Linked DNA regions of Rhinolophus ferrumequinum. The protein of the gene in region 1 interacts with the protein of each later gene in a pairwise test. Links are inferred from orthologs where the notes say so. Each region holds a gene or a part of one and is shown in the gene's direction. Other genes may lie near its edges.

Region 1 (6,811 bases):
CCCCTTTTGTCATGGCTTAGGAAGCTGAGAACTAGGGTCAACCTTGGCTATATTAGGAGAGTCTTCCTGCCTCTTCTGTGTATGCAAGGATTTCTTAAAGTGCTTCAGTTGTTTCACTTGTAGGAAGGTATTGAGAGAATGAAAAATACAAAGCCCAGAACCCTGAGAAAGATTCTCCACCCTGGCTGTTCATCAGAATCAAACTAGAATTTTAAAAAAATCTATATGACTGAGTGCTGCCCTGGGTGAGTGGTGTAGAGGGTACGGACGGGGTGGAGCCTGGCATGACATCAGTAGAGGGGAGGGACGGGCAGGCTGAGAAGGTGTTGGAAAAGCATGGGTTATTCTTCACTGACAGGAAGGGTTGGTTTTCCTAGTGTATTATAAAACCTACAATTTTCCCAAGCTGGTGTCTCCAACCAAATTCCATATAAAACATTGGAGACCTCAAAAAGGAAAAGACTTTTTAAAGAGCAAGTCCCAAATTCTCAAAGCTAAGTGTAATCGTGATTTGAGTTTATCTCCTCTTAAAGAACATCTTTCTAAGGGCATCTCTGTCTCTTAACTATGTCTCACAAAACCAAAAACCATAACTTTGCCATGTCACAAGCAAGAACCTTTTAGAAGTCTGCAGAACTAGAAGCAGTGGGAATTCCTGGCCCTGGTCCTGGTGGTTTTGCTGACCGACGGGGCAGGCCTGATTGGAAAATACGGAAAACAGTCAAGTGCTTTGAGATTCTTGGATGGAAGAGGGCAACATTCTGCCCACCTCCACCCCCCGCCCTGCCCCCGTCTTTGGGGAAAGATGTCGTGCCTTTCCCCGCCATTCTGCCTTTCTACTCAGTAACTCGCACCTTTCTGGAAGTAATAGCATCTGGTCCTACTTTTCCATCTGGACATTTTTTTTTGCACCATCTAGGTTAGCAAACCACTTAGCTAATGCTTAAAAAATACACTCATCATCTTGAAAAACTAATCAGTTCCAAAGTGTATTTTGGTTCTCCCTGTTGCCTCTTCCTAAAAATTGAGTTCAGGACAACAGTATTTTTGTATACTTGGTTGTGACTTTTCTTTTTTCTTCCCCCAAATAAAATAATTGAAGCTCATGTTTGGAAAAGCTGTGTTGAGGCCATAGTCTTTCCCCTGGGTCTCGGCCCCTAGTAGTCCACTGGTTCACCCTCCCGATTAGCTGAGTTTGCTCCCTTGTACCCCACTCAGGCTGAGAGCGGAAATGGTTTTGATGAGGAATCACTTTCAGGATCAAAAGGCCCCCAGAGAGGTCCCGAGGCGTTTCTGTAAGTAGGGGTTCCTGCATGTGTCCAGAGTCCTCTGCCCTGGTACATCTTCCTTGAGATGATGACCCTGGCTGAGAATGTCTGCTCTCACAGGATTTGTTAGCACTCTCGCCTTCCTGCTAAAGCTCAAGGCCAAAAAGAATGGTAAGAGACACTTAGGACAAGAGCTGTGAGGCTGTATCCCTGTTAGACACTGCTGATTCTAAGTGGCCAAAATACCAGAGACGTGGGTTCTGGGGTTAACTGCGTACAGTGTGGTGTTGACCTTTTCATTTTGATTACCTTTTGGGCTTTAAATTCCTAGTCCCTGAGGCCAAGTCCACAACTTGCCCTCTAGTCACTTACCTTTTAGTCTTTAAATTCCTAGTCCCTGAGGCCAAGTCCACAACTTGCCCTCTAGTCACTTGCTTGCCATTCAGTAGCAGTTGATATGTTTGGCTGGTAGGTTTGGAATCAGTCAGCAGGCTTTCTGTCCTATCTTGGTTAGCTCCATAGAAGCAGCTTAGCCCTGAGACCCAGAGAACTGCTGTCCTTTTTCTATTGAGGGAGGAAATGAAGCTGGGGAACCTGATGTCCTTCCACAGCATGGGAAGAAGAAAATAAAAGCCTCCTTTCCAACAGCTTTGACTTTTGTGTGTGGTATGAAACGTTTTCCTACAGGAGTGGTACAGGTTCTTCATTTCAGCTAGAACTTTTGAAGTGCTTGATCTAGGTGTCCATAATAGAATGGATGGGACGAGCTGCCATAAGAGTCATTCTTCCATGACCTCTGGAGCATCAAAACTGGGGCAGTGTTACTTCTTTAATTCTCAACTACTTGCCTGGTCATCCCTCAGGAGGCAGTGACGTACAGTAGAAGGAGGCCATGCCCCGTGGGTCCTTAGTTATGCCTTTGGAGGACTTATGCAGTGGCTTAGGACTTCTTACTGCCTTTGCGCTGAAAGACTGGACAAGTTCTGTGTATCCTGACACTTGGCGATTCTCCAACGGGAAAGAAAAATCACACTTGTCCCAGCATCCAGTATGCTTTGCATGTACCAGTTGTTTAGTTATGGTTTCTTCTCAGTAAATAATAGGTGTCCTCTGAGGATGCAGGACGATGTAATGGCGATGGGGAGGGAGTATCGGGAGGGCGGGGTCAGAAGTCCCGAGTTCTAATAGTAATTGTATACTGAGCACTTAAATCAAGTACCAGGCACTTTGCTCAGTGCTTTACACATACATGATTTGACTTCATTCTAAGGATAAGGATACTACCCATCAGCCTCATCTTCCAGATGAGGAAACAGGCTCAGTGAGGATAAGTCACTTAACCAAAATGTCTCAGCTAATAAATGGAAGAGCCAGGACTCTTGGGTTTGCCCCTAAAATCTATCTTCTGACTCCTACCCCATGCTGCCTTCACTGGGAGCTCTGGCAAGACACCTCCTCCCCATTTGTCCTCAGTTTGCCATTGTAAAGAAATTGCTAAGCTAGATGAAAGAAGTCAATGAATGGTGTGTAGTTGTCTAGGACAATGCTCACCAAATGTTTTGACATCACAGCCCTCACAGAAATGTATTTGTATGGCCACTGAAATGAATGGAGGCAGAAACTCAAGGTTTCTCTCCCTACGGTGCCTGACTGGAGGGGACTGGAAGAGGGCAGAGAGAGCACTCTAACATCTCCCCAGCAGAGAGCAAGTTGCTGGCCCCCTTACACGGACTGCCGCTTCCAAACACAGGAACCCCGAGTGGGCGTGGGTTCTCTTCATCACAGGGTCATTCGGAGGACTTGCTGGGAAGTGGCCATGCCTGGGAGTTACAGAATTGGAAGTTTGTTGAAACGACCCTCGAGTGAGAGATCCCAGTTGAATAAAATCTCTACCTGTTCTTAGAGAAACTGAACTTCATAAACCAAAAGACGTTCCCCTGTGATATGACTGCATACTTTTAATAAACTAGCAAACATTTAGGAGAATGGATATGTAAAAATGTAACAGGTTGGCCTACAGGATTAAGCATCTTCCCGGCCCTACAGAGTTCAGAGTAACGATGCAGAGCGAGCCTTTTCTGATAGGCGGGCATGGATCAGATGATCTTTCCCTTGAGGTCCTCAGACTTCCCCTTCAGCCACTGAAGGGCTTGCATATGATGAAATCGCACACAAAATGACATTTCCTTTTGCCTGGTTTCATCCTCCGGACTCAACCTGGTCAGTAGTTCGGGGCTTCACTGAGGGCGGCAAGAAGCTGGGGCCTGACACCCCCATGGCACTGGGTTAGAACCCGTCATGGCCAGCTACCAGCCAGGCTGCCGAAGCCACTGCAGACAGAGGAGCATCACGGAGAAGAGGGGGCAGACAGACAGGAGACCACGGGAGGGATACGCATCAAGCCGAACCCACCTCTTCCCGCGCGGACCCTGGGCAATCTCACCGAACAGCCCACCCTCCTCAGCGCCTGAGCCAATAAAAACACGAGAAACATATGACTCACCATACCTGACCAATCAGCTCGAGCGCCCTCTGCGCCGGCATCTCGCGCGATAACCAGGCGGGCTCCGACTTCACAATAAAAACCTTCCTTGGGATGAAAGGCTTCTCTCCCCGCCCCTCAGCCAACACCGGAAGGCAGGCGTGTCTGGTGGATCCCTCCGCGCTCCCCCGCCGCAGAGGGAACAGTGACTCTTTGATCTTAGAAGCTGTGTAAAGTAGTGCGTCTTTCCTTTTTTGAGACCTTGAAAATAACCCACTTTCTCTTCAGAGCTGCACCCTGGGCGCAAAAGTTGTTGGTTGGAAACGGTAGGGCGTCGGATAGATGAAAAGAAGTGGGTGGGTGGTGCCGGTGACGTGACCACGGCGGAAGAATTTGCTGTGTGAGGCGTCCTCGTAGAGGCAAAAATCTATAAAGGACCCGCGGCCGGGGCGCGGCGGCCATTTCTCCTCCCGCCTACAGATGTCCACTTAGCTCCCGGTCTGTGCTGCTTCCCTCCTCTGCTCCCGCGGACCCGCGGCCACCATGGCGCATTAGAGGCAGCCGTGCCTGCGGCAGCATTGGCCTTTGCAGCGGCGGCAGCAGCACCAGGCTCTGCAGCGGCATCCCCCAGCGGCTTAAGCCATGGCGTAAGTACCGGGCCGAGCGCGCTGGCCGTGCGCCCATGGTGGAGCGAGGGGCCGGCCTGCTTGGGCGCGGCCGGGCCGCGTCGCGGAGGGGGAAGCGGTTTTATGAGCGCCCGCGACGCGTGGCTTTTGTTTGGGTGTCTCCGAGACGCCAGCACGCCTGAGTCAGGAAAGCGCGGCCCGGCGCGGGGGGGAAGAGGCGCGCGGCGGCCTCGGAAGCCGCCAGGGTTCCGCCTGGTGCCCAGCGAAACGTGGCAGGGGCCAAGATGGCGGCGGGGCAGGGCGGCGGCCGGGCCGTGTGAGTCACGGCGGGCGGGGCAGGGCGGCTGCAGCCGTATTTGGACGTAAGGATGCGGCGCCTTCCTCTTGTGGCTGAGGAACGGCCGAGCTGCAAGGGCGTCCATCTTGTGTCGCCTGACCGGGGAACGGGCAAGGTCGACATTAATGGCTCTGGGGCCACGTGTTGCCGATCCCGGACAACCAAGGAGAATTCCGGTTTGGCCATCCTGCCTCAGGAGTGAAAAGATGAAATTCTCAGACCGGCTGTTCGCTAATAGGACTTGGTTTCCTATTCAGGTTTTTCACGGCACCCAGCAGCAGCGTTGCTGTAACGGACAAAGACATCCTCGAATTACACACATTCCTCGATTCCAGCAAAACCCCGCAGCATGACCGAGATGAGTTTCCTGAGCAGCGAGGTGTTCGTGGGGGGCTTCGTGTCCCCCTTCGACCAGTCGGGTTTGGGGGCTGAAGAAAGTCTAGGTCTATTAGACGACTACCTGGAGGTGGCCAAGCACTTCAAACCTCGTGGATTCTCCAGTGACAAGGCTAAGGCGGGCTCCTCCGAATGGCTGGCTGTAGATGGCTTGGTCAGTGCCTCAGACAACGGCAAGGGTGAGTGGGTGTCCTTTGCCTGGGGGGGTCTGGGCAGCGGGGCTTGCTGCCTTGTGCATTTGGCTGAATGTTTCATCCCTCTTACATCTCTCGCAGAGGATGCCTTCTCCGGGACAGATTGGATGGTGGAGAAAATGGATCTGAAGGAGTTTGACTTTGATGCCCTATTGAGTTTTGATGACCTGGAAACCATGCACGATGAGCTTTTGGCCACGTTGGATGACACGTGTGATCTTTTTGACCCCCTAGTCCAGGAGACTAATAAGGAGCCCCCCCAAATAACAAACCCAATTGGCCATCTTTCAGAAAGCTTACCAGAAACTGACCAGGTTGCCCCATTCACCTTCCTGCAACCTCTTCCTCTTTCACCAGGGGCCCTGTCCTCCACTCCAGATCATTCCTTTAGTTTAGAGCTAGGCAGTGAAGTCGATATCTCTGAAGGAGATAGAAAGTCAGACTCCACTGTTTACATTTCCGTGATCCCTCAGTGCATAAAGGAGGAGGATGCCACCTCAGACAATGATAGTGGCGTTTGTATGAGCCCTGAGTCCTATCTGGGCTCTCCCCAGCATAGCCCCACTACCTCCAGGGCCTCTCCAAATAAGAGCCTGCTGTCTCCAGGTGCCAGCTGTGGTGGCTCTGCCCGCCCCAAACCCTATGACCCACCTGGAGAGAAGACAGTGGCAGCAAAAGTAAAGAGTGAGAAGCTGGATAAGAAACTGAAAAAAATGGAGCAGAACAAGACAGCAGCCACTAGGTACCGCCAGAAGAAGAGAGCAGAGCAGGAGGCCCTCACTGGCGAGTGTAAAGAGCTAGAAAAGAAGAATGAGGCTCTGAAGGAGAGGGCAGATTCCTTGGCCAAGGAGATCCAGTATCTGAAAGATTTGATAGAGGAGGTCCGCAAGGCAAGGGGAAAGAAAAGGGTCCCCTAGTTAGGGTAGTCTGTGCTTGTACATAGGAAGCTTGCCTGAAGCTGTGTGTTGTAATAAATTATTTTGTAGTGAAAGTACTTGGCAAACTGCTGTCTGGTGTCTTGCCTTGTAAATAATCTGGTCAATCCTCCTGGAACTAGATTCTTGACCCACGGTGGAGGGCGGGATTTCAATGTGCTGAATATTTGAGCCCAGGATGAAATGTTTCATACCCTGTTGTGCCATAGGTTAGGGTCACTGGTCTTACATTGGACCTTGAGCCAGAGGGGTTGGGCCAGATCCCCCACAGCTGAGCAGGTACCTGGGTGTTTTTTCCAGAACAGAATTGCTAGATCTTACAATAGCTCTTTGGTGACTGCAAGGTAGGGAAGTTTCACTTGAGGGGAACTGGTGTGGCAGGAACAGCCTGGGCTCCACCTGTTAGCTTTGTGCCAACATCTGTCATTAAATACCCAGATAAGGTCCCGCAGTCCTTGAGCTTAGCGTACAAGTGATTGGATTTCACTTAAAAGCTTTTACTGTTCTGTAGAGGCCACTTCCCAAACCCATTAAGACAAAAACTGTTGGTTTTTGTTAGAACAAACCATAAGC
Region 2 (7,870 bases), on another chromosome or scaffold:
TCTATTAGCTCATAAAATAAAAAAAATTTAGGCAAATTTATTTTAAATGGAAATTTTAAATTTAAATCACTCACCTCAAATGGAAAGTCACTACCATTTGCCATAAAAGGGAAGTAACATTAAATGCCAGGAAAGCAAAAACACTATTCTTGAATTCTAGTTAGAACCTGTTTCTTGCTGAAGGCTCTGAGCTGAGCCCTGCTCTCTCTTCCTTAACAAGTGAAGTGTTAAAGACACAGAAGCTGTTAAATGAGATTTTCTTCCCCAGTAATTGGAGGAACAGGAAGAAAACAAAAAAGAAATACATGTATCATGATATGATTCAATGTTATGTAATAGAGTCTGGAGACCTAAAACTATCTGGCATCTACCACTGCTGTACATATCATATTTTGGAAAGCACTGAGCTAATCCAAATCTTTCTTCCTATTTTACAGATAAGAAAACTAAGGCTCCAAAAGAGGAGGTGACTTGCCCACGATCTCACAAGGTCTGTGGCTTCAGCCAGACCTAGAGTCTAACCGGAAATCTTTCCAAGGCATTGTTTCCCTTTCGTGGGGAGAACATACAGAGATGAAAGGTTTAAGGGCACCAATCGTAGAATTTGAGACATGTAGCAATCACTAGTGACACCTGGGTGGAATGGCAGGAGGCAGGTGTGGCTCCTGTCGTGGCTCCCATCATAGCAGTCCACAGACTCCCACCTCCTCTCCTCTGTTGGGGCACAGTCCTCTGAGCATTGGACTTAGACACACAGTGACTTTGACAAGAGCAGTTTCCCTAGGGAAGGGCGAGCAGGTAGAATTGTGATTGGAATGGATTTAAGAGAGAAGAGGAATTAAATTCCCTGAGGGCCAGAGACTGGGCTCATCAGAACTACAGCAATAGTAATGCAGCCTGCTTGGCTCAGACACCTGGGTGGAGGATGTTTTGAGCCTGGAGAGAAGGGATGTCATAAAAATAACTCTCTCTCCAGGAAAGTGCACTTTTTTGCATTTAATTTTGGGGGTCTGGCAACCATTTATTTTCTCACTTTTAAAAAATGCTTACATAGCATTTATATTCCAGGCACCTCACAAATATCGTCATTTAATCCTCATGACAAACCAATGCAATAGGTACTATTATTATCCCCATTTTGCAGATAAGGAAACTGAGACACAGAGAGCTTAAATAACTTACACAAAATTTCACCTTGGAATTGGTAAGATTTGAACCCAGGAAATGTGGTTTGACTATGACACTAGGCTGCCTCAATGCATTTAACCCTTAAGACTGCAATGCAAGAAAAGTATGATTAATCCCATTTTATAGATGCAGGAAATAGATGCAGGAACTGAGGCTGAAGGCTATTTGGCATCTACGTTGTGGACCGGACAGACTCTTCACTTCTTTGTTGTACTCCCTGGACCATGTGTCAGGAATTCTTGGTCAAGGGTTGTGCTATTCAATATGGCCACATGTGTGGCTACTGAGCATTTATTTATTTAAGATTTTATTGGGGAAGTGGAACAGGACTTTATTGGGGAACAGTGTGTGCTTCCAGGATTTTTTCCAAGTCAAGTTGTTTTCCTTTCAGTCATAGTTGTGGAGGGCACAGCTCAGCCCCAGGTCCAGTTGCCGCTGTTAGTTGCAGGGGGTGCAGTCCACCATCCCTTGCGGGAGTCGAACTGGCAACCGTGTGGTTGAGAGGACGGGCTCCAACCAACTGAGCCATCTGGGAGCTCAGCAGCAGCTCAGCTCAAGGTGCCGTGTTCAATCTTAGTTGCAGGGGGCAGAGCCCACCATGCCTTGTGGGAGTCGAGGAGTCCAATGGGCAACCTTGTGGTTGAGAGCCCACTGGCCCATGTGGGAATTGAACCGGCAGCCTTCGGCATTAGGAGCACGGAGCTCCAACCACCTGGGCCACCGGGCCGGCTCGCTACTGAGCATTTAGAATGTGGTTACTGTGACCAAGGAACTGAATTTTTCATTTTATTGAATTTTAATTTTAAGACAGGTCAGGTAACATATTTTTTCCATTAAATACAGCTTAAGTTTTTTAGTAGGACTACATTTTACTTTAACCATTACTTTAACAATTTAGCTTCCATGCTGATTTGTGTCCAAATTAAGTGTAATATATACACACCAGATTTTGAAGACATTAGTATGAAAATATTTTAGATGAACTCATTAATAATTTTTATTATCTGTGAAATGATAATATGCTAGATACATTGGTTTAAATAGAATATATTATCAAAATTAATTCCACCTGTTTCTTTTTATTCTTCTTTAGTGCATGACTAGAAAATTTGAAACTACATATGTGGCTTATGTTATATTCTATTGGAAAGTGCTGGTCTAGAGAATTGGGATGTGACACCCCCAGCTGTGACAAGGGCCTCAAACTTGGGGCCGAGGCCCAGGGTGTGGTTCCAGAGAACATACCTACAAGTGAGGGTGGAGGCTGCTGGTTTGCAAAGATTGTGAAATGTCCCTGGCCAGTGTGGACACTGGGGTCAGCGGCCCCAAGTTCAAATCCAAATCTACCTCATACAATGAGCTGGGTGGTCTTGGGTAAGTCCCTCACCTTGACTCATTTATAGAATGTAGGTGACAGTGCCCATCTCACCAGTGCCTCAGAATCTCTGTGCTTACTTTTTCCTCTTTCCCCCTCACATCTTTGCACTAGTCACCCCTATTCTTCCTTAAGATCCTACTTTAAGCATCACCTTCCTGATGAGACTTACTGAAAACAGCCATCCCTCAGTCATCTCTGATACAGAAAAATCTACCCTATTTTATTCAAGAAAATAAATGACACTTATAATCTATTTTCAATGATCGTGGTTTATTGATTTTATTTTATTGATAATGGCCTGTCTCCCCATTGATTTATACAATCCATGAGGACAGCGATGGGTCAGTCTTGTTTCCGATGAGTCGTGACAGGCATGGGTCTGACACCCGAAACAAAGTTAGGAATGTGTGAGCCAACCCAGCGCAGTGCCAGCTTCATAAAGGTGCTCAGAAGACAACCATCCCTACCTTTCTTTACCCCTAACAGCTATGGGAACTTCTGACCTGAGTCTAGATGTCCTGGTGTAGAAAATGAGTTCATTTATCCCTCCCAGGCAGGGGAGTCTCCAGGGTTAAATGAAATCCCAGAATCCCCTAGTGTGCCCTGAAGGATCTGAGACACTAGTGAGCTGGTCCCTATGGTTCTGGAACTAGGGAAACAAAGGTGACTCCAACCGCCTCCCATCCAACCTCTGCCTGAGCAGTTATTTTTTTGACATCTTTTTTTTTAACATTTGTTTTTATTAGTTTCAGGTGCACAAAACAATGTAATAGACATTTATCATTTATAGCCCTCACACAGTGACAACCCCCCACCCCCCATCCACTACCCCTCTGACATCGCACACAGCCATTACATTTCCACTGTCACTATTCCTCATGCTGTACTCCGCTTCTTGTAACTATATATGTATATAGTTGTAGTTGACATTCATTATTGTTCAGCTTCAGCTTCAGGTGTACAGTGCAGTGATCAGGCATGTACGTCATCCCTGAGGTGGTCTCCCTAATGAGAGTCCATTGAAATGCCCATCGGTAGATGACTGGATTAAGAAACTGTGGTACATTTATACAATGGCGTATTACGCAGCCATAAAGAAGAATGAAATCTTACCATTTGCAACAATATGGATGAACCTAGAGAACATTGTGTTAAGTGAAATAAGTCAGAGAAAGACAAATACCACATGATCTCACTTATATGTGGAATATAAAGAAAAGAATAAATGAACTAATCAGAAATAGTCTCAGAGACAGAGGAAAAACTGAGGGTTGACATCATATTTTTCCAGACATCAAGACCTAGAAAGGATTTCCACTGAAAAGTGTAGATCCCCGGGGCTGCACAGGGATGCTTTACCAAATAGCAAGTGCCACCAGGGCCTGCCAGGCCTGGGGTGCAAGTCCCGTGATAGGCATCTTCCCCTCGCTGAGCCTCCATTTTGTATACTCTTTTTATTGAGCACCTATGATGTGCCACACACTGTTCTAAGCATTTTACTAACTTCTTTTATCCAAACAACGACTCTATGAAGTGAATGCTGTGCTATTATAAGCCCATTTTATAGTGGAGGACACTGAAGCAGGGTTTTAGGTAGCATTCCTGAGGTAGCACAGTGGCCTGGGCAGAGGTGGGGTGCACTCTTAGGCAGGCTGTTTCTAGGGTGCCTGCTCTTAACCACTACTAATGGTTGCACTGCCTTTATCAAATGAATGCTGTGAAGTTCACCTTACCTCAGGCCTTCCCAGGGCACCACACTGGCTCTTTTGAGCCAGGAATCAGCTCCTATAAATCTGTGGTTTTTGTAAAGCTCCTGGGCTGCTTTCCCATAGCTGGGCCTCAGGCAGTTCCTTAGTAGAATGGGGAGACTAGAGCTTCCTGCCTGCCAAAGCTTCTCTAAAGGTTTAAAAAGCAATGGTGGAAAGGTAGCCAGGAGGCTGTAATGGTTTGCTTTTTTTATTTCTCTTCAGCACCATCCTGAGAAGCAAGGATGTTTTTCCCATTTCACAGATGGGGAAACCAAGGCTCAGAAAAGCAAAATGCTTTTTCCAAGATGATAGGGAGAGTCAGTGGCTGGTGTCTACACTCAAACTTCGGGCGCGGGGCGGAAGGGGAGTGGGGTGGAGACGAGACACCCTTCGAGGGCGGGAGAGGCGAGGGGTGCCCCGGCCCCGCCCGGGAACCTAACCGGAGGGACGGGGCGGAGCGCGTTGGGAGGGGCGGAGCGCAGGGGATGGTGCAATCCCCGGCCGGAGCGCCTCAGGCGGCTGCTGATTAGCTCAGGTTTACATCACCCGGGCCAGAACCGTCGCCTGGCGCCAGGCGTCCAAGAGACACTCGCCGCGGAAGCCGCGGCGGCTCCGCACGCTTCGGGCTGCGGGGGGTCGAGGCCAGAGCTCCGCCAGATCCCAAGCTCAGCAGCAGCGGAGCAGGTCCCAGTCCACCAGGGGTGCCCAGGCGACTCTGAACTTAGGGGTCCGCAGGACACCGCCGCACCAGGGCAAGGTACCCGGCTGGGAGCCAGGGGCAGGAAGGTTGGAGGGGCGGGTAGGTTGGAGGGGCGACCGGCGGAGGGTGGCCGGCGAGCTTCGGGATGGCTCCGGGCTGCCGCGTGTTACACACACCCCTTTGAACAAACCTGGCCGTCCGGGGGCGATCTGGGCCGAATGTTCCTGCCGGGTCTCAGGTGACGCAGCCCCTCAGGCCTTGGGGTCGCCCAAGTGAGGCCGACACCCGCTAGGGCGAGGGAGCACACCCCGGGGGTGTTAGCTGTGTCCCGGGGGCGGAGGGAGCCAGGACGGAGGTGTCCGTGTGTGGGTCCGAGAGAGGTGTGCGGTTGTCTGTGTTTTGGGTGAGTGTGGGTCAGGGGAGTCGTGTGGTTTGGTGGGGGAGGAGTGTGTGTGAGGGACTGCATTGGAGGACTGGAGGACTGTATGTACAGTCTCTGTCACTGTGGGGGGGTATCCGCGGGAGTCCGCGGGAGCCTGTGGGGTCTGGGTGGGGATGTGTTTCGGGACTCTGTGTTTCCGCGGACGGTGAGAGTTGCGGGGAGGGCAGAGCACCTGGTGGCAGGTGTTGGCTGTGTAGGGGGTACGGGCGGGGTAGGGCAGGGGTTTCCTGGAGGCGGAGGACCCGTGCAGGTCAAGTGGGACCACGGAGGCAGCGGGCGGATGCGGGACCCTGCTGCGCGCCGGTCCTGGGCCGCAGGTGTGTACCTACCGGTTTGCACGTTGCACTGTGCGCACGTGTGTTTCGATCCAGCAGACGGCGTGTGTTGTACCTGGAGACTTGGGGAGGGGAGGCGAGGGCCCAGCCCCGCTCCTGCCCCCTGCCCTTGGGCCCAGCCTCCCTCTCTCTGTCTCACCCCCTCCTGATTCCCCACCGCACCTCGGTTTCCGCTGAATCTTCTGCCCGAGACACCCGCTGCCGCCTCTTCCGCTCCCAAGGGAGGAGCCTGGCTGCGGGAGGCCGGCGAGGCAGCCGACTGCCTTAGGCCCAGTGAATGTGTGTGTATTGGGCGAGGGCGGGGAGGGGGCGTGTCAGACTGTGCGTGTGACCCTGTTGCTATCAGTCCTGCTATCGTGAGTGTGATGGTTGGGAGAGCTGTGTGTGTGTGCGTGCACGCTTGCCCGTGGAGGGAGAGGTAAGTGTGTATCACTTGATGTGTGTGCCTGTGTCTACCCTGGATGTATGTGTCTCTGCTGGCTGGCTTGGACAAAGTGTGTTTTTGAGGGGTGTGTGTACACCTGTCTCCCCTGTTGTGTGAGTGTGTATTTAGTACGACCTGCCCCTTTTCCCATGGGGTTGTCAGGGACCAGTAAGAGGTAGATATTAGGGGCTGCCTCCATCCTACAGTGGAGATCCTGCAGTGTGGCCTGCAAAGTCCCATGTTCATCTATAGATTCAGATACCCCTGTTCAATGGTGTGGGGCATCCCAGGCCCCACCAGGCTCTGAGGTACAGTAGGGCCAAAGCAGCCTGGAGTGCTGTACAACCACCAGAAAGCCACTCCAGGGAGTCTCTGCTTCACAGGGCACAAAGCATCTACACAGCCAGGGGTCATTTTGCTTGACTCAGAACAGCCAGTGAGGTCATCCTAGCCTCATCCCTGGGGAGATTTCTGAGTCTCCATATGGTAGCACTTGAGCATCTTCAGCTAATAATAATAATATTAATAATAATAATAATAAATAATAATGGAACAGCAGTAGTGACCATTTCCTGACTCCTATCCTGTAACAAGGCCATGCTACTTTATTTCTGTTTTAATTTCTTCACCACAAAAATCCTATGGGCATTACTAGACATATGAAAAGATGCTCAAAGTCACTAATCATCAGAGAAATGCAAATTAAAACCACAATGAGATATCACCTCACACCTGTCAGAATGGCCATCATCAATAAATCAACAGAAAATGGTGTTGGCAAGGATGTGGAGAAAGGGAACCCTCATGCACTGTTGGTGAGATTGCAACTTGGTGCAGCCACTATGGAAAATTGTATGGAGGTTCCTCAAAAAATTAAAAACAGAACTACCTTATAATCTAGCAATTCAGTTACTGGATATCTGTCTGAAGAAATCCAAAACACTACTTCAAAAAGATATATGCATCCCTATGTTCTTTGCAGCATTATTTACAATAACCAAGATATGGAGGCAACCTAAGTGTCCATCAATAGACGGACTGGATAAAGAAGATGTGGTACATATATATAATACTTGTACAATGGAGTATTACTTGGATATAAAAAATGAAATTTTACCATTTGCAATAACATGGATGGACCCAGAGGATATTATGCTAAGTGAAAGAAGTCAGATAGAGAAGACAAATATATGATTTCACTTTTATGTGGAATTTAAAAAAAAAACAACACAACAGACATACAAAATAGAAACCAACTCCTAGATACAGAGAACACACTGATGGTTGCCAGATGGGAGTGGGTTTTGGGGGCTGAGTTCCATGTATGGATGAAATACAATCTATGTAACCAGACCCCTAATGATGGATGTTCAGTTATTTCTATTACATGGGCTGCAAGAATAACCTTGTACTGGTATTATTACATCAGTATGTAGAGAGCTTCCCGGTCCTTTTTCAGAACTGTATAGTGTTCTACTGCATGGCTGTACCATAATGTTTTAACCAGCCTCCAACTGCTGGACATTGAGGGTGTTTCTTGCCTTTTGCTATTTAGACACAAGGTTCTGATCTAATTTTTTGGTGAGCATTATTTTTTTTTTAAGATTTTATTGGGGAAGGGGATCAGGACTGTATTGGGGAACAGTGTATACTTC
Region 3 (7,976 bases), on another chromosome or scaffold:
GACCTTAAAAGGACATGATAACAAAGGGTAGAGATTTCTCAAGGATGAAGGTGTGGGTCACCCCAATAGGTAAGCTGCTTAGGCCAGAAGAGTGCTAGCCAACAGTGAGGGTGACCTAGAAGGGGGAGTAGGGGAGGCAGGTGATGAACATCAGTGCGCCTTGGGGCCAGCAGCAGCCATCGTTCATCCGCTAGCTATCTTCTGGCAAATTTCTCCAGCACAGGAGACCATCCAAAACTCCGGAGAAGCTATTCACAGATGGGATTAACTTCTTATAAGTAATAAGTGGATTCAAGCAGTGCAAGAGGTAGACTGCAATGGACGCCGTGGTGCACCCCTACTCAGGACAAAGTCTCTCATCCCCTCCAGCTGTGTTTTCTAAAACCTCATACGTACACGACACAGCAGTATGTATGTAAAACAGAACCTTACCTTTCTATAAGAACAGAGTATGACAGACAAAAAAATAGCAAAAAGCACACCATAATGTATATCTTAATGTTACATGTATGCCATGAGAAGAAAGAGTAAGGCCAGCAAGAACTTGAATAGTCAGCAAAGGCCGAGAGTTGAGACTTGGCTTGGGGCTTGAGGCATGGAGAGGAACTGGCTACGTGGAGCTGAGAAGGAGTTGTCCGCCAGATAGCACGCCAGAAGTAGTGGGCATTCGTAGCTTTCCTCAATTGTTCTCCACTTCATACCCCGCCACCCCCCCCCATTTCTCTCTGCCCAAGACACACTCTGATCTCATAAGCTCTTCAGGCTGCTGCACCTTTGGCTTTACCCTGGTTGAGGCAAGATAAGGCTAGAAAATTTTTGAAAGGACATTTACTGTTTTGGCTCTGAAGTTTGCCCAAGCCTTCCCACCTGTGGCTACAGTAGGTCTATTTAACAGTGACAGAACAAATCTCCAACCTCCATCACCAGGTATTTCTTGGCAGCTCCTGGGACCCCACTATAGTGTACCGTACCATTGGTATCGCCTATCATCAAAGTCTCTGGAGGACAGGCCCCTTAGCACGGCCTCTGCTTCAGCTTTTTTTTCTCCAACTTGTTGCCCATATGCCAAAGGGGGTTGATGCCTGAGGTTCACAAAAACACAAATCCTAGAGACGTTAAGCAGTTCTGCATTCACTTCAGTTCCTACCAGGCTGAAGAAATGGGGTGGTTCACAATGATGGGGGAAATGCCACTCTCTTCATAAGGACTACAACAGCGCTTGTCCCTTCAAATCCTAGCTTTCCCCCAAAAAACCTTTGCAAGGGAAAATGAAACAATCTCCACCTTCCTCTTCCAGCCCAATTCCCCCAATATTTATGTGAATGGATGCTGGTATCTCCACCCACCACGCCCAAGTAAATCTGAATCCACGTTTAAGCTTGCACAGGAACTGATTGTTACTATAGGAACCTAAAAAAAAAAAAATGTAAAAGGAAGAATCCATGAGAAACGCCTAGAAGATTCCTGACTCTAAGCCAACAAATTCAAGCACCACCCAGCCTGGTGGTGCTTTCTTGGCCTCCTTCTCATAGGCTGGGCACCAGCCTCCCACTTCCCCAGCCCCAGTGCCTTGTTCTGTAGGACTGCCAGCGCTTGGGACAGTGCTTGGCACAGAGTGGGGACTCAACTAATAATTGAGACAGATGAAAAAGAATGCAGGAGTGAGTACATGGGACAAGCACATGCCTCTGTCCAGGAAGCTTTCATTTCCTTCTCATCTCGGCCTTGCAGCTCCCAGAGATTGACCTGGCATGTGGACCTTCTGAGGACGGGTCCCTCAGTAGCCCAAAGATGACTCCCAGGGCTTCCACATCCTCTGGCAGCCCCACAGTGCTGTCCCGCCGCCTCTTCTTCCCTCTTTGCCACCTCCTCCCCTCCTGGAGGAGTCCCTGCAGTCCTGTTCCCCCGCTCTCTGGCTCCATTTCTCTGCATGGCTTGGGTTTGCCTGGCAGAGACACAGTCACCAGTAGTGAGCAAGGTAGGACTTGCGGCTCAAAGCTTTTCTGCGCTCAACGTCCTTATCAATTTAGCTGAAGTCTGTGCTGCCTTTGATTTGTTAATATTTCAGAGTGTTCTGTTTTAAGTTAATGTTAACCCTGTAATGTATCTCAAATGCTTTTTTTCTCCCCTAAACAGATTTTATTTTTAGAACAATTTTAGTTGCAAAATATTGAAAAGACTGAGATTTCCCATTTACCCTGCACCCAGTATCCCCCATTATTAACATCTTACATTAGTATAGTATATTTGTTACAATTAATGAGCCAATTAATGAGCCACAATACCAAATAAATTAAAGTCCATTCTTTTTTTGGATTTCCTTAGTTTTTATCCAATGTCCTTTTTCTATCCCAGGATCCCGTTCAGGATACCACACTACATGTCTCCTTAGGATGCTTCAGATGGTGACACTTCCTCTGACTTTCCTTGTTTTTAATGACATTGACAGTTTTGAGTAGTACCGGTCAGGTGTTTTGTAGAATGCCGCTCTATTGGAATTTGTCTGGTATTTTTCTCCTGGTTAGACTGGGCTTATGAGTTCTTGAGATCAAAGAGGTCAAGTGCCATTTTCATCACGTATCAACATGGTGTATGTCTATTGAGTGAACCTTGGTCACCTGGCTGTAGCAGTGTTTGTCAGGTTTCTCCACTGTAGAATTTCTCTTTATTTTTCCCTTTCATGCTCTGCTCTTCGGAAGGACGTGCGGGCCACACTAAAAGAGTGGGGAGTTATTCTCCCCCATCTGAGAAGAGAGTATCTACATAAATTATTTGGAATTCTTCCGCATGGGAGATTTGTCTCTTTTCTGACATTTATTTACTCAATCATTTATTTATATCGGCATGAACTCATGGATATTAATTTTATACTTTGGGTTATAACCCAATATTACATTATTTATTTTGCCACTCAAATTGGCATTGGGGCTCTTTGGACACTGGGGCGGGGCTCTCTCATTTAGCTCCTTTGACATCCTATTATGGACTGAATGTTTGTGGCCCTCCCCACCCCATGTTCATATGTTGAAGCCTTAATGCCAAATATGATGGAATTATATTTAGAAATGAGGACTTTGGGAGGTAATTAGGGTTAGATGAGTTCATGAGGGTCCTCTCATGATGGGATTGGTGCCCTTATAAGAAGAGACACCAGCTCTCTCTCGCTCTCTCCTCCCTGCATGTACACAAAGAGATCATGTGAGCACACAGGGAGGTGGTGGCTGACTTTCCAGTGGGACACTGTGCTTCAGCCACTCTGGCCTTAAATTTCTCCCATCACAAAGACCTTTAGGTAAGACATTCCCTCTGACTGGTACATTCACTTCATGGGTATCACTTAGACAAATCCTATTCATCTTCTTTTAGGCCTTCCCTGACCTACACGCCAGATTTGATTCCTTTCTTATAATCTCTAACAGCATCTTGTACTTCTTTCTCGTAATATAGTTAACAGAAAAAGTGTATAATTACTGCATGTCTGTCTCTTTGGCTCTAAAGTGTAAGCTCCGTGTGGGAAAGGGCTGTGTTCGTCTTATTTGTTGCTAAATCCCCACAGCTTAGCACATAGTTGGCACACACACACACACACACACACACAAATTGTAAACCAGCAGAAGACAGAATTCCCAGCTGAATAGGAAATACTCGTCTCCTTGGCATTGACTAGACCTGCTGAGTGTGGGAGAAGGCTTTCCCAGACAGACGAAGAATGCTGTGCCAGCTTGGCAGAGTGGTTAGCAAACAAGAGAATAAATGAATATACCAATACAATTTTTTTCCTATACAATATTTAGGTGATTAGGCAATGATCAGGGTAAAATTACGATTTTTAAGAGTACAAAATATAATCCAATTTTAATAAGCTAACATTTTGATCAAAGAAATTTCAACTCAGAACAGAGGGCCAAAGTGAAAGAAGCATACTGGTTTTGTTGATGTGTTACTCTACCAAATACGCTTCTATGTTTATCGTTGTTCATATTTAGTTGCAGTCCTTTTATTTTTATTTTTTGCAAATGTTTTAGCATGTCTTTTCTGATTCCTCGAAACAGTCTTAGGCACAAAGCTGGTCCCATGGCTTGGGCGATGAAGAAATGTTTCCTCTTTCAAAGACTATTTTTTGGACGATAAGAATTGCTAAAGAGGAAACAATCAAACCTATCGGGCGAGCGGGCTCTGTCCTCCAGCCAGCGCGCAGCTTCCTGGTTTTCAGACGCTTTCAGATCCTCCTGTGAATTGACTTAGATAAACAAAGTTGGAGAGCCATTCATTCTTTGAGATCACGTCTCTCAATCTGTTCACCTGGCAGACACCACACGGTAATCGATCATGGAAATTCAATTCGTTTCCTCCAATAACGAACCACAGTCTGCAGTGTTCACCAATGTGATATCAACACTAATCATAGTTGGGACAATTTTGCTTCCTTCGTTTTTCAAGTCCACAGTTGTCTTCATAGCCGTGAGGTCCAGGACTTCTCTCCAGGTTCCATCCGAGGGGCCCGGGCCCGTCGGAGGTCAGGCGTCAGCGGCGGGCCCCACATCCTGGGAAGCGACTCTAGTGGGCCGTTCTGGGAAACTGTCCCTGTGAGGGACGCCCCAGGACCTGGTGAAACCAAAAAAGAACTCGGTGATTCAATCATCTTAGGATATTGCGCTTTCCAAAGATAAGTGTTGCCTTCACAAAGCTACGCTTCTCCAACTTCCACAGAGCCTTTCTTACAGCTGGGGTTTACCCCTCCGGGCCGCCGGCCCACGCGAACAGCCGAGGGACCACGGGCGGCGCTGCGAGTAACCATCTGCTCCCGCCACGCCCGCCAGCCCCACCGGCCGAGGCCAACGCCTCCGCCACGTGCCCGCCTCCCGCAGCCAGGCCACCCACGATTGGCTGGCGGCGCTGCCCGTCGCGAGGGGTGGGCGAGTCGCCTGCAAGCCGGCCCTCCCATTGGTCGTGGCGGCGGCGGTAGCGCGCGCGGCCCTGGCGACTAGGGGAAGCCGGTGGCGGCGGCGGCGGAACGGGCGGAGGCTGCGGGTTTCGTAACTATTGCTCCTCCTCGCTGACTCGTGGGCTGCGAGGCCTGGGTCGGGTCGGGCCGCGCCACGCGGGGCCGCTCGGAGTGGAGGCCGCCTGGGGGCGGGCGGGCCGGAGGCTCAGGTATGGAGGCCGCGGGCTGGCGGGCGGGCTGAGGGAGGAGGAGGCCGCGGCCGCGCCGGCTGCTCGCGTGGGCGCGGGCCCGGCCCGAGGAGACCTGGCCGGGTCGGAGGCGGCCGGCTAGCCGGGAAGGCCCCGCGCGGCCCGCGGCGCGGGCGGCGGCCCCGCGCGGCGTCTGATGCAACCTGCCGGCAACACCCGGCGGGGACGCTGAGCTCATCCCTGGCCGCCGCCCAGCGCCGCGGCGCCACCCGCGGACCCCGGGCGCCCCTCTCTCGGGCGCCCCTCATCGCCGGCCCTAGACGGGATGAAAGACGAGGGGCGCCCACTCCAAACCCTGGCCCTCTGTGAAACGTGTAGTTGTGACAAGCCAGGCTCGTATTGGCCCCTGGGGATAAAGGGTGTTCCCAGAATAGCAGGAGGTGGACCATATCTTATTTTAGTATTACATGGGATGTTTTCTGACCCGCCAAAACGGCTCAGTGTGGAGTCGTCGGGAATTCTGTTCAGAAGTTAATAGAGTGATAAAGTAGCCAGGGGAACCAGTGGATGTTTTACCTACGTGACTTTACAGAAATACTATTATGCTCACTTGTGGAGCTATAGTTTGAATACCCTGCAGTTTACTGTTGAACATAGGTGAGATGAATGTGCAACAGCCACGAGTTGAATAGTAAAGAGAATGGCAGGAAATGAATTGCTTCCTTAGCTCAGTGGAGGGAACACAGTAAGGAAAATAGCCAGGAGAGGTGTCTGAGATGGAGAGGATGGATTAGCAGGTTTGAGGGGAACGGGAATCTTTTTTTTCCCCAGTAGGCTTGTATGTTTGTTTTCTTCAGAAGGTGTAACTGTTTGGTTTTCCTCTTGTCTGAGGTTTATGCTTAATCTGGCATCTTAAAATGTGTTAGTTTCAGAAAGGTTTTAACATTTGTGGGTTGCACAAAAATTGGTAGTTCTGTCTCTGAGCCTACACTCAGTTGAATCCTTATTTGAAGAGATCGTTCTTTAATTCAGATAGGCTATGTGACTCCCAAAGAAATTTTTGAAGTAAAATACGATAAACGCTTGATGTACTAAGAAACTCTGCATCTAAAAGTTCTTCATATTTAAAAGTTAACATCTGGTCAGTTATTACCACTTAAGTAATATTTGGGATAAGCTATTCTTAAAGTTGAATATTTTTGGAAGAATTTACTGTAAACAAGGTTAAATAATTATAGAATGCTAGGGAGCTGAATTTTTCAGTTTCTTGATTCCTGCTTCTGGTGGGCACACGTGGCTGATTCAGTCATTTTTAATATCTGCTGTAAAAAAAAAAAAAGTGGAAGCCTGCATTTCCCCCCACCCCCAGAATATCCTTTAAATTCTCAAGAACACATCATGACTGTCAGCAAGGTTGTCTGATCATGGAGAGGTGGTTTCATCCCTAGGGATTTAAATAGCACATGGGGAGTCCTTGGTAAAGACAAATAGGACCTCATGGGGCTGAATTTGGTCTTATGTTCTAAGATTGTCTCACCTGATCACAGTAATGGTGAATGCACGTAGCCGCAATTCCAGGTTTATTGTGTATTCTTGGGAGGGGACACTTCGTGGGTTCTTGTACTGGTAGGTACATTGATCTCCTACCTTTTTGGCTTTCCAGGCCTATCAATAAAAAAAAAGAACATGACCTACTAACAGGTGTATATTTATAAACAATGGGTGTAGACTATTTTTTGTATGTTGTAAATCAAACCAAAAGTGGATTTAAAAAAGGACATTAAAAAAAGACAAATGAACATACATTTGTTTCTCATACTTATGTACTCCCTGAAGGGATGTACCCTCTTTCATGGACCCCTATTTTGGGTCATGAAGCAAGCAGTGGTAACTAAATAGAAATACTGCTCATTTGGGTGTCTGTTGACTTTGCTTGCTTTTGACTTCACTTGTAGCACAGAGTTGTCAGATCCTGGCAACACATGTCTAAGAACTTGACATTATTAATTGGAAAACAACCGGGCAAAGTAGAAAGTGAAGGCTCTCAACTGACATGAAGCAAAGACCAGACAAGAATGAATACAGTCACTGTATAGACTGGGGACTTGAAGTAGCAAATGGAACTAACTGTGTTTTTATTTTCCTGTACACCTTTTAAGAAAGACCAAGAACTTGAGGTAGTAAGACCATGGTATCCTAATAACTCTTGATTTAATTGCAGTTGTTTTAAGAGATTTTAAAGCTAGAGAGTCTCATTTTCATAAGACATTTATAAAAATATGTTTTCTCTTAGCCTTTTGATCCTGTATTCAACAAATACTTGTTGAGCACTACAAGTATTTTGAGCACCACAGGGATATTATATACCTAGCCCTGCACCAGATTCTGGGTATGTGGAGATGAAGACAGTCTTGCCTCGAGGTTAGTCTACAGGGAGACACGCTGTAGGGCTGGTGTTGACAAAGAAATGGGGGGAACGAGCTGGACAGAAGCACAAAGAGAAAGCACGGACCATTTAGGGGACTGATAGTGGTTTAGTATTGTTAAGGTGTGAAGTGTAAGGGAGTAGGGATTGGAGAGAGGGTTAATACCTTGGATTTGATCCTGTATGTTGGAGCCAAAGAAGAATTTTCAGCAAGAGAGTGTGACACACTCAAGTTGGAGTGTTAGATTGCTCTGGAGACAGTGTCTGGAGGGATCACTGAGAAACCAGAGGAGACTAGTGCCCCTGAGAGATGATGTCAGCCTGAGGTAATTCTGTGGCATGGGGATGGAGAGGGATGGTGGATGTGAGGTTTTTTGGGGGGTGGAGTGGGGTCGGTAGAATTGTCCTGTACCAGTGA

Evidence for each region. The genes of interacting proteins can lie anywhere in the genome.
Region 2: the proteins of ATF4 (region 1) and TRIB3 interact in binary tests that used the Homo sapiens proteins (3 or more experiments, as listed by UniProt). The link is inferred for Rhinolophus ferrumequinum from reciprocal best matches to the Homo sapiens genes ATF4 and TRIB3.
Region 3: the proteins of ATF4 (region 1) and CEBPG interact in binary tests that used the Homo sapiens proteins (3 or more experiments, as listed by UniProt). The link is inferred for Rhinolophus ferrumequinum from reciprocal best matches to the Homo sapiens genes ATF4 and CEBPG.

Annotation. Positions count from the first base shown.
Region 1 is NC_046293.1:7,979,470-7,986,280, reverse strand, and holds ATF4 (cyclic AMP-dependent transcription factor ATF-4), read left to right. Parts: upstream 1-4,204; 5' UTR 4,205-4,397; intron 4,398-4,970; 5' UTR 4,971-5,062; coding exon 5,063-5,288; intron 5,289-5,384; coding exon 5,385-6,220; 3' UTR 6,221-6,297; downstream 6,298-6,811. UniProt on the Homo sapiens protein: Transcription factor that binds the cAMP response element (CRE) (consensus: 5'-GTGACGT[AC][AG]-3') and displays two biological functions, as regulator of metabolic and redox processes under normal cellular conditions, and as master transcription factor during integrated stress response (ISR).
Region 2 is NC_046306.1:23,329,891-23,337,760, forward strand, and holds the start of TRIB3 (tribbles homolog 3), read left to right. Parts: upstream 1-4,850; 5' UTR 4,851-5,071; intron 5,072-7,870. UniProt on the Homo sapiens protein: Inactive protein kinase which acts as a regulator of the integrated stress response (ISR), a process for adaptation to various stress. Inhibits the transcriptional activity of DDIT3/CHOP and is involved in DDIT3/CHOP-dependent cell death during ER stress.
Region 3 is NC_046298.1:34,555,145-34,563,120, forward strand, and holds the start of CEBPG (CCAAT/enhancer-binding protein gamma), read left to right. Parts: upstream 1-4,956; 5' UTR 4,957-5,154; intron 5,155-7,976. UniProt on the Homo sapiens protein: Transcription factor that binds to the promoter and the enhancer regions of target genes. Binds to the enhancer element PRE-I (positive regulatory element-I) of the IL-4 gene. Binds to the promoter and the enhancer of the immunoglobulin heavy chain.